Linked DNA regions of Caenorhabditis elegans. The protein of the gene in region 1 interacts with the protein of each later gene in a pairwise test. Each region holds a gene or a part of one and is shown on either strand. Other genes may lie near its edges.

What was found.
Region 2: the proteins of dylt-1 (region 1) and unc-104 interact in a two-hybrid assay, tested with the Caenorhabditis elegans proteins (one study listed by BioGRID).

Annotation. Positions count from the first base shown.
Region 1 is NC_003279.8:7,299,470-7,302,973, reverse strand, and holds dylt-1 (DYnein Light chain (Tctex type)), read left to right. Parts: upstream 1-2,060; 5' UTR 2,061-2,079; coding exon 2,080-2,121; intron 2,122-2,223; coding exon 2,224-2,431; intron 2,432-2,551; coding exon 2,552-2,622; 3' UTR 2,623-2,909; downstream 2,910-3,504. Other genes in the region: Inositol monophosphatase ttx-7, read left to right, coding at 5-82, 285-421, 535-639, 748-902, 947-1,067, 1,548-1,809; BAH-4 (Glycosyltransferase family 92 protein F13G3.3), read left to right, coding at 3,012-3,100, 3,162-3,386.
Region 2 is NC_003280.10:6,992,976-6,998,193, forward strand, and holds the start of unc-104 (Kinesin-like protein unc-104), read left to right. Parts: upstream 1-2,011; 5' UTR 2,012-2,211; intron 2,212-2,958; coding exon 2,959-3,058; intron 3,059-3,582; coding exon 3,583-3,733; intron 3,734-3,780; coding exon 3,781-3,949; intron 3,950-3,999; coding exon 4,000-4,178; intron 4,179-4,471; coding exon of another isoform or gene 4,472-4,635; intron 4,636-4,810; coding exon of another isoform or gene 4,811-4,916; intron 4,917-5,218. UniProt on the Caenorhabditis elegans protein: Motor protein involved in microtubule-associated anterograde transport. Regulates the transport of synaptic vesicle precursors in the axon of DA motor neurons. Regulates the polarized sorting of axonal proteins.

The DNA.
Region 1 (3,504 bases):
TTAGATGGTGTTCCAACCAATCCACGAGGAAGAGCAAGTTTTCGTCGACTACGCCATTGAGTTGGTTAAAAAAGCTGGAACGGTGAGTTGAATTCGGATTAAAAAATCAAACTGTTTCCTAAAACAACAACGTCGTTATTATCTTTGTCTTATTTTTGTTAATTTTACAAATATGCACATTTAAATCAAATGCGTAACTCGAAAAACAACATTCTCTATTCCTCAGTTACGAAACAAATTTTATTATTTGAAAAAACATCAATATTCGAAAAAAACATTTTCAGCTCGTCCGTACCGCGTTTGACTCCCCGGAAAGCAAGGTTGACACAAAATCATCGAATACTGATTTGGTGACTGAAACTGACCAAGCTGTTGAAAAGCTTCTCATCGAAGGGCTCTCCGAGAGATTCAAAGGACATAGGTAAGAGCAAGGAATTCCCACGGTCCGCTCGATTTCACTCATTGTCTCCATGACAACCAGTTGGACTTTCTTTTTCAATCGAGTATTTACATAAATTTACTATTTTGATTCAGATTCATTGGCGAGGAATCTGTAGCCGGAGGTGCGAAAATTGAATGGACTGATGCACCAACATGGATTATTGATCCGATTGATGGAACTACTAACTTTGTTCATAGGTAAGATTTTTTTTAAATCGGACTCTTCAAATAATGGCAAATCGCGTTATTTAATTTCTAATTTGGACTCAAATTTTTCTCGAAAAACAAATTCTTATGTTATTATAGAATCCCTATGATCGCAATCTGCGTTGGACTTGCAATCAAAAAACAAATTCGTGCTGGAATCGTATACAATCCAATCACTAATGAACTTTATCTCGCTCAACTCGGAAAGGGAGCTTTCAAAAATGGATTTCCAATCCGAGCATCAAAGAATCAATGTAAGTAATTGCACTTTTCTTGTCATGCACCCTGCTTTTTGAAGTGCTTTCAAAGGGAGTTCTCTGTCAATCTCTCGGTCTGCATAATCGTGTTCAGTTCGGCGATCGCTGGCTCGACATTGCCCAGTCAAACATGCGAAATCAAGTGATGGCTGGTGTGCGAGGGTTTGTTTTAATTTTTTGGTCTAAAATTGATTACTTTTTTACAAAAAATATACCTCCACACTTCCCGCGCTGGTTTTGCACGTTTTACTTTCAATTTTATTTACATTCACATAGAAACGTTGCAAATTCCAGTCATTGCGGAAAGTGTGCTCATACTTCAACTTGGCTCAATTCGATCTCCTGTTATGCAGAAATCATTTGTTGATTCTTACAAGACTGTTATGTTCGACAAACAATGTCACGGGTACTTATAAATATTTTTTATATTCTTGTCGAAATCTAGTGACTTTCTTGAACTGTGCGTTTGCAAATTTTTTGAAAGTTTTACTAAAATTGAGAAATGGATAAGATGGAAAAGTTAGATGTTGGATGGACAAAGTTTAATATGAAAAAAATCACGAGGATGATGTGATATTATTATTTTTAATATTGTTATACATAATAAAAGTTATTTGAAAAAAATCCAAGTTTTTTTTTCAGACACCGTTCGTTTGGCTCCGCCGCGATCAACATGGTGATGGTTGCACAAGGAAGTTGCGATGGATATGTTGAATACGGGATTCACGCTTGGGATGTTGCTGCTCCTTCTATCATTGTCACAGAAGCCGGAGGTGTTGTCACTGATCCAACTGGATCCCCATTTGACGTCATGTCAAGAAAAGTTCTCTGCGCTGGAACAGCTGAACTCGGACGCGATTTATCTGCATGCCTCACTCATGTCGATTTCGAGCCGGAAGCCTAAATATATATTTAACTATTTATTTTCAAAACTCACATATTGTGACATAACATTCCTACCATAACATGCATTATCTGTATTTCCAATTTAATATTAGTTTTTTGATTTTATTTTCTAGTCGTATGTATTCTCGTTTTATGAGAATAAATTATTTAAAGATGTTTATATCTTAATTTCTGATACTTCAATTGCCGTTTGAGCGCACTTGATTTATTTATACTGTCTCTTTTTTAATAATTAAACTCAATATTCAGCTCTCACAAGCTCAACATCATGGCTTTGGCAGAGGAGGACGTTCACATGATCATCAAGCAGGTACCGATATTTTATATGTCTACTGTATTAATTCTTTGAAAAACTATAATTTTTGAGTTGATTATTGTTTATTCACATTCTCGTAATCCAATAATCTTTCAGGTACTCGACGAGGTTGTAGGCGCAAGCACCCAGTATACCCACAAGGACAGTGTTCAGTGGAATCAGAAGGCCGTCGAACAAATAACGAAGAAGCTAGTGGCAGCGGGAAAACCATACAAATATGTGGTTACCTCGTCGTTCCTTCAGATCTCGAGCGGTTCCGGTCTCAATGTTAGCACGATTTCCTACTGGAATAAAGTCACGGATTGTGAGTTAACATTTTGTATTAAAACATTAAATAATAAAGAGGGAAATAAATTTATTACTCACAAAGTTCTGATTTTGAAAGTTGGTATTCAACTTATAGCTCAAAAAATCTCATTTTCAGCCTCGTACATGTACCGTTGGGAAGCCAAAACAATGCTTGCAATCGTCTATGTTTTTGCAATTGCAATTTAACAATCCACAGCTTCATCTTATATGTCTACTCTGGTTTTCCTCGTTTACCGCCAATTCTCCCCTTATTTCTGATTGTTTTTTTCTTCCCCATTCATCACACACTATCATGTTTTATATTCAGACCTATTACCTGTCCAGAAAAACTGAGCTGAAAAAATCCGGACGAGCAGCTCCTTCACATTCAAAATCTTCCATCATTTCCCCCACTCAATTCATTTGTTTTGTCTTTGATTTTCAAATTTTTTGCCTTATTATTTTATTGCTAAATTAATGAAAACTGTTACTCCTCATTTTGACCGTCGCACTCATTGAAGGTAGTTCGAGATTAGATGTTCAGATAACTTGCGGGACGCGTTAGGACACAAAACAAGTGCGTCAGATCAGCCAAAATGCTTCCACGAATAATTCCATCGGTTCTGTCTGTGGTATTACTTTTTTCGTTTTTATTTTTTGTAACGGCAGTCTTACTTCAATTTATGTAAGTATTGATAGTTAAAAATTATCACCGTTCAAAAATGATTGAAACGATAAATTTCCAGTCGAATCGATTCACCAGATCTTGAAAATGAAGAAGTATTTCATTCGGCACCTTATGATATATTCATTTATTCTGCATTTTATTATAATAAATCAAAAAGTCTCGGAGATTCTTCAATGGTTATTCTGATGACTGCTGATTTTGAAGTTTTGGAAAAAGTTAAAAATCTTGAACTTTTGGGCATAAATGACACGAGTCGAGCTATGACATCTGCTGAATTGGAAAGGTTTGTGTATTTAATTTCTTATTTTTGTGTTGATTCGAAGTTTTTGAGCTTTTCGGCACCAATTAAATAAGATTTGAAAATTCAATGAAAAAATTCAAAAAAAAAACCAAGAAAGGGG
Region 2 (5,218 bases), on another chromosome or scaffold:
TTTCTCTCTCAACTCGTCTTCAATCTCTTCACCTCGTCCACTATTTCATCCCCGGAGACTTGTTCCCCAGACGTCGTGCCTCCAATCGATCCATTTGTGGAGCCCGCGTCGTCCACAGAGCTTCTGCCGTTTCATCTCTGCGTCTCGTTCACCCATTAGACGTTGTGCTTCCTCCCTGCCTGAAAATAGCCCCACACAACATAGACTTGCTCTTCTTTCTTCTACTTTTTTTCTCATTCTTTTTTCTCCAGATACGCCTTTATTCAAATGACGTGTTTCTTTTTTTTGTCTGTTCAAAAACCAACAACTCATGATCATCAGATGATGATGGTCAAAAATCCCTTCCGGTTTTCCTTTTCTTCCCAAATTTTGGCTTGGACTTTTTTTGAATTATGACACCAAAACATGCAACGACGTATATATATGCAAACGTAGAATATCGAGTTTCAGAACCGAATCATTGTCGAGATTAAAAGGGAGGAAATTGATATGTGATGGAAATAGATTGAGGGCTGAATTTTTGAGATTGAAAAAACAATTGTATAATGTAAGTAGATAAAACAAAGCTGTATTGAATTTATAAATATCTAATACATTTTCTAATACAAAAATAAATTTGATTTTGTACTTTTCTTAAAAAGTGATCAGAATTTCCACTAGATGTTTTTGGCAACAATCACCTGATAATTGGATTAAAATTTGACAAAACTGTTTAAGTACAAGCGAACTAGATGAGAATTTCTACCTTTTTCTTTCAATTGAATATTTTCGTATTCTATCCCTCCGTGCTTTCATTTTCCATTGACGTTTTATGGTTCAATATATATCCTAAAAGTTTTCCTTACCCTTTCTCCTACTAGTTTCATCTCTTCTTCTAAATAATTAACATTTCTTTATTTAATTGATTTCTTTCCATTTCACGTCATTTCTTCATTTAGCACAACATTCTTCTTTTATTCCCATCCAATCGCCTTCTCCGTTCATTCCGGCCCCTTTTTCAGCTTCAAATTGAACAACAAAAACACATTGCGTGACGATAAAACTTCCAGTTCCCGTCTTCAAAACGTCATTCCGAGAGACTATTCGCCTGGAACCCTCGCCTTTTTTTCATTATGTGCTCATCCCTAAAAGAGCCAAGAGCTCTCAAAAACTGCTGGGGATCTTCGTGAAAAAATGTTTGGTTGAAAATTGTTGAAGCATCTTGAATTACCATTTACTAAAGGACCAAGTATACATTTTGAAATAGGCTCCGAAAGATTGAAGCATATTTTGAACTAGATAATATTAATTAAATTCATTTTGTTGGTGTTAACTTTTATTTTAAGTTGCGAGCATGTTACCGTAAGAACCTTTTTCATTTTTTATTTTAAATAAAATTTTACAATTTGTCTTGAGCAACTTGTTCTATAAGTGATATCAACTTCAAATTAGTGAGCATATAAAATTAAAATGAGAAAAAACAATAGCGTGGATAGAAAAATCACCATAGGCCAGGAAAATCTGTAAGAGATTTTCCCGTGTTAGCTAAACTTTTGAAATTGTTTACATTTTTAAAGGTTATGTTTTACCATCTGATTCTTTACAGATCGGTTTTTTTTAACATATGACAATAGTTTTAACCTTTCGTTTTTGAACCTTTAAATTTGAAAATCAATAGTTTTCATTAAATACTCATTGATTACAGTAGCCATTGGAACTTTATGTCTCCTTTCGCTGACCTTAGGGAACATTGTGCCAAAATCAGTTTTGCTTCCAAAATCAGATTCTATAATTTCTACACTGTGACTCACAAAAACCAACCAAATTCAATCATTTTTCTGTATCCTGCCTTCTTCTTTTTTCGAATGTTCTTTTTCTCCTTGTTTCTCTTTTTTCCATGTTTATCATCGTCATCTGTTGCTTCTTCTCGGCTTCTCTAATTTCAGCCCAACCCCTTTTTTTTCCTCATCTAATTAAATTCGCCTCGAGGCTCCGTCCTCCTCCATCTCTATCTTTTTCTCTTTTCTCTTCCATTCCGAACTTTTTCTTTCCCAATCGACCATCTATTCGAAGATTCATTGCTGCCTTTTTTTCAGCACTCTTCTTCATTTTTTTTTTCGAATACACATTCAATAGAAAACTGGAGAAGAAGAGGAAAAGCATCGAGGAGACGATAAGTGGGGCTCAACGCCATTGGATGATTGACTCGAGCTGAGAAGAAGGACTCAAGAGGTGAGCCAAAATTGCAAAATAGAAGAAGAAAAAATAGAAAAACAAGAGGAAAGGGAAACAAATGTCTTGTTATAGATGTTGATGTGTGAAAAAAAACGATATAGAAAAATGACATGGCTGAACGGAGTTATTATCTTGACTTGAAAGGCGGTATTCGAAAAATTCAGATTTTACGTTAAAAATTCCCTTTTTAACTCAAAGTACCCAAAAATGGGCTAAAATTCAAAAATACCACAATAGAACACTTAAAAGATTCTGTAAGTTTGTAGGACTGCATTTTAATCCTAAAAATATGGTTTCAAAAAAATTAATTCATGTTCTGAAATGTTACTAAGGTTTTGGAAAGATCGCAATGAGCTTTAACTTTTCAAGATTTTTCTTCAAGAGTTGGTAAAATTTTTGACATCAGTAAACTTGTAGTTTTAAAAAACTTTTAAAACCCCTTTTCAATTTGTTTCAAAATTTCAAAATGTTCAAATCTTAATGCTTAAAATTGAAATTCAATGAAAATAGATCACAATTCACGTCATTTGGCATTTGCTTCTTTTCCCTGCCTGAGCCAACATTTTCTAATCGAATCAACCATTAATCTGTTTTATTTCGTCAATTTCTTTTTTCCTTCTTTCCTTATTAGCATATATCGATCTTACTTCAATTGTTTAAATAAATCTCAATAAACAAGTTCAAAATAACATGTGAATTCCAATTTCTACGAACGAATTCTTGAATTAATTAAAACAATTTCAGATGTCATCGGTTAAAGTAGCTGTACGTGTTCGCCCATTCAACCAACGGGAAATCTCGAACACTTCAAAATGTGTCCTTCAAGTAAATGGAAATACGACGAGTAAGTGCCCCAAGGGATTTAGAAATGGCGGGTGACATTTGAGACTGAGTTAACCCCTTTCTACGAAATATTTTCCGAGAAAAAAGGATAGGCTGCCGTCCCAAAATGATGCGAAAAACGTTGGTGACGTCCAAGAGTCTTTGGGAATAATTGAAAAGATGAGAGAGAAGCAATGCATAAAAAAGAACAGACGGGGTCTTGAAATGAATAAGAGGAATTAAAAGATATTCTGGAGGTATGGGATTCAATATTGGGATCTACCATTGAGCAATACCACCACATGTTTCGTTCCGTGTTTCTAACACAGAGTTTTTGAAGCATAGATAGGTGTTCATATTTGCGTTGGAGAGTAGTGATCTCCAAGATATATTTTTATACACAGTCTTTAAATGTTTTATTTTTAAATTTTAATTTTAAAGAATGGTTGTAAAATATGCTCAATTCAAAGCTCCCTGATAACAATACATGATACTGTAGTAGCATACTGTATGAACTGTTTCAAATTAAAATATTCCAATTTTCAGCAATAAATGGTCATTCAATTAACAAGGAGAACTTCAGTTTCAATTTTGATCATTCATATTGGTCGTTTGCGAGGAATGACCCACATTTTATCACCCAAAAACAAGTATATGAAGAGCTCGGAGTTGAAATGTTGGAACACGCATTTGAAGGGTTCGTTTGATGTACATAGATTAATAGTTTAAATAATTGACTTCTAGGTATAATGTCTGCATTTTTGCATACGGTCAAACAGGATCAGGAAAATCATATACAATGATGGGAAAAGCCAATGATCCAGATGAAATGGGTATAATTCCACGTTTGTGCAATGATTTATTTGCACGAATTGATAATAACAATGATAAAGATGTTCAATATTCTGTAGAGGTAATTATTTTTGATACATTAATTCATGGAAACTAACAATATTATTACAGGTATCGTATATGGAAATTTATTGTGAACGAGTAAAAGATCTTCTGAATCCTAACTCTGGAGGTAACCTAAGGGTTCGTGAACATCCTTTACTTGGACCTTACGTCGATGACCTTACCAAAATGGCAGTTTGTTCTTACCACGACATTTGCAATCTGATGGACGAAGGAAATAAAGCGAGGTGAGAGAGTGAGAGACGGAGAACATTAGAGAAAATCAACGGAAGTATCATGGCAAACTAAACCAAGTTTAATGACCGGGGGTATACACAGGTAACCCGCGACAAGCGAGCGATGACTTGCATGCAGGCCGCGTGCAAGCGAATGTAGAACCAAAAACACGCGTGTACGCGGCCTATCCCTCGCCTGTATTTCGCTTGTTAGCGGCCCATCGTTCGCCTATTATTGACATGTCTGTGAGATGGAATCCTTCCAGGATTCGTTCCACCCGCTTGTAGTTTTCACTTTCTTTTCTTATAATATGACAACAGTAGTTTATTTAAATAATATTTATTTAAGAAAAATTTCCAAAAATGCAAAAAAAAATTAGAATTTTTCGGGATTTTCCCTCGTTCCGCTGTCTCTGCTGCACTTGGTTGCTCTGTAGATGCTTTTCCGTGGCGTTTCCGATTGGCTAATCTGAAATTAAATACATTTTTGTATAAAATTGTGTTTTGTTTGCGAAAAATACAATATGAACTGAAAAGTTAAAGGTAGAGTTAAGTCAATTTGCGGTTTTGCCATGAATGATAGCAAAAACCAATTTTGCAAAAATAAAAGAAACATTTGAAGCTAAAATAAGCTAAAATATTACCTCTTTCAAGAAATCCTTGGAAACTGAAGCGAATTTTCAATATCCCCGCGTTCATCCATCGTCTCCGCGCTGCGTGACACGACGGTCGGTGGCTGTTCGGCAATCTTTAAATTTTGCATTATTTCATAGTTTATAAGAATTCAAAGAACAGAAATTATAATATCCCGTCTCTCCTTGCAAAAAACAATAGAAAAAGTGAGAAAAAGAAAGAACATCCAATTCTCATAACAAAAACTACGATAATTGCGAAATAATTGCCGAATAGTACGAATTTCATCGAAAATATGAGAAAATCAAAAATTATCGACATTTTCTGTTATGAAAATTGCATAAAATACGAGCGAAATGGCTTTAAAACGTTGAAAAAGATGAGAAAACGGAAAAATTGTTCAATAAAAATGAAACTGT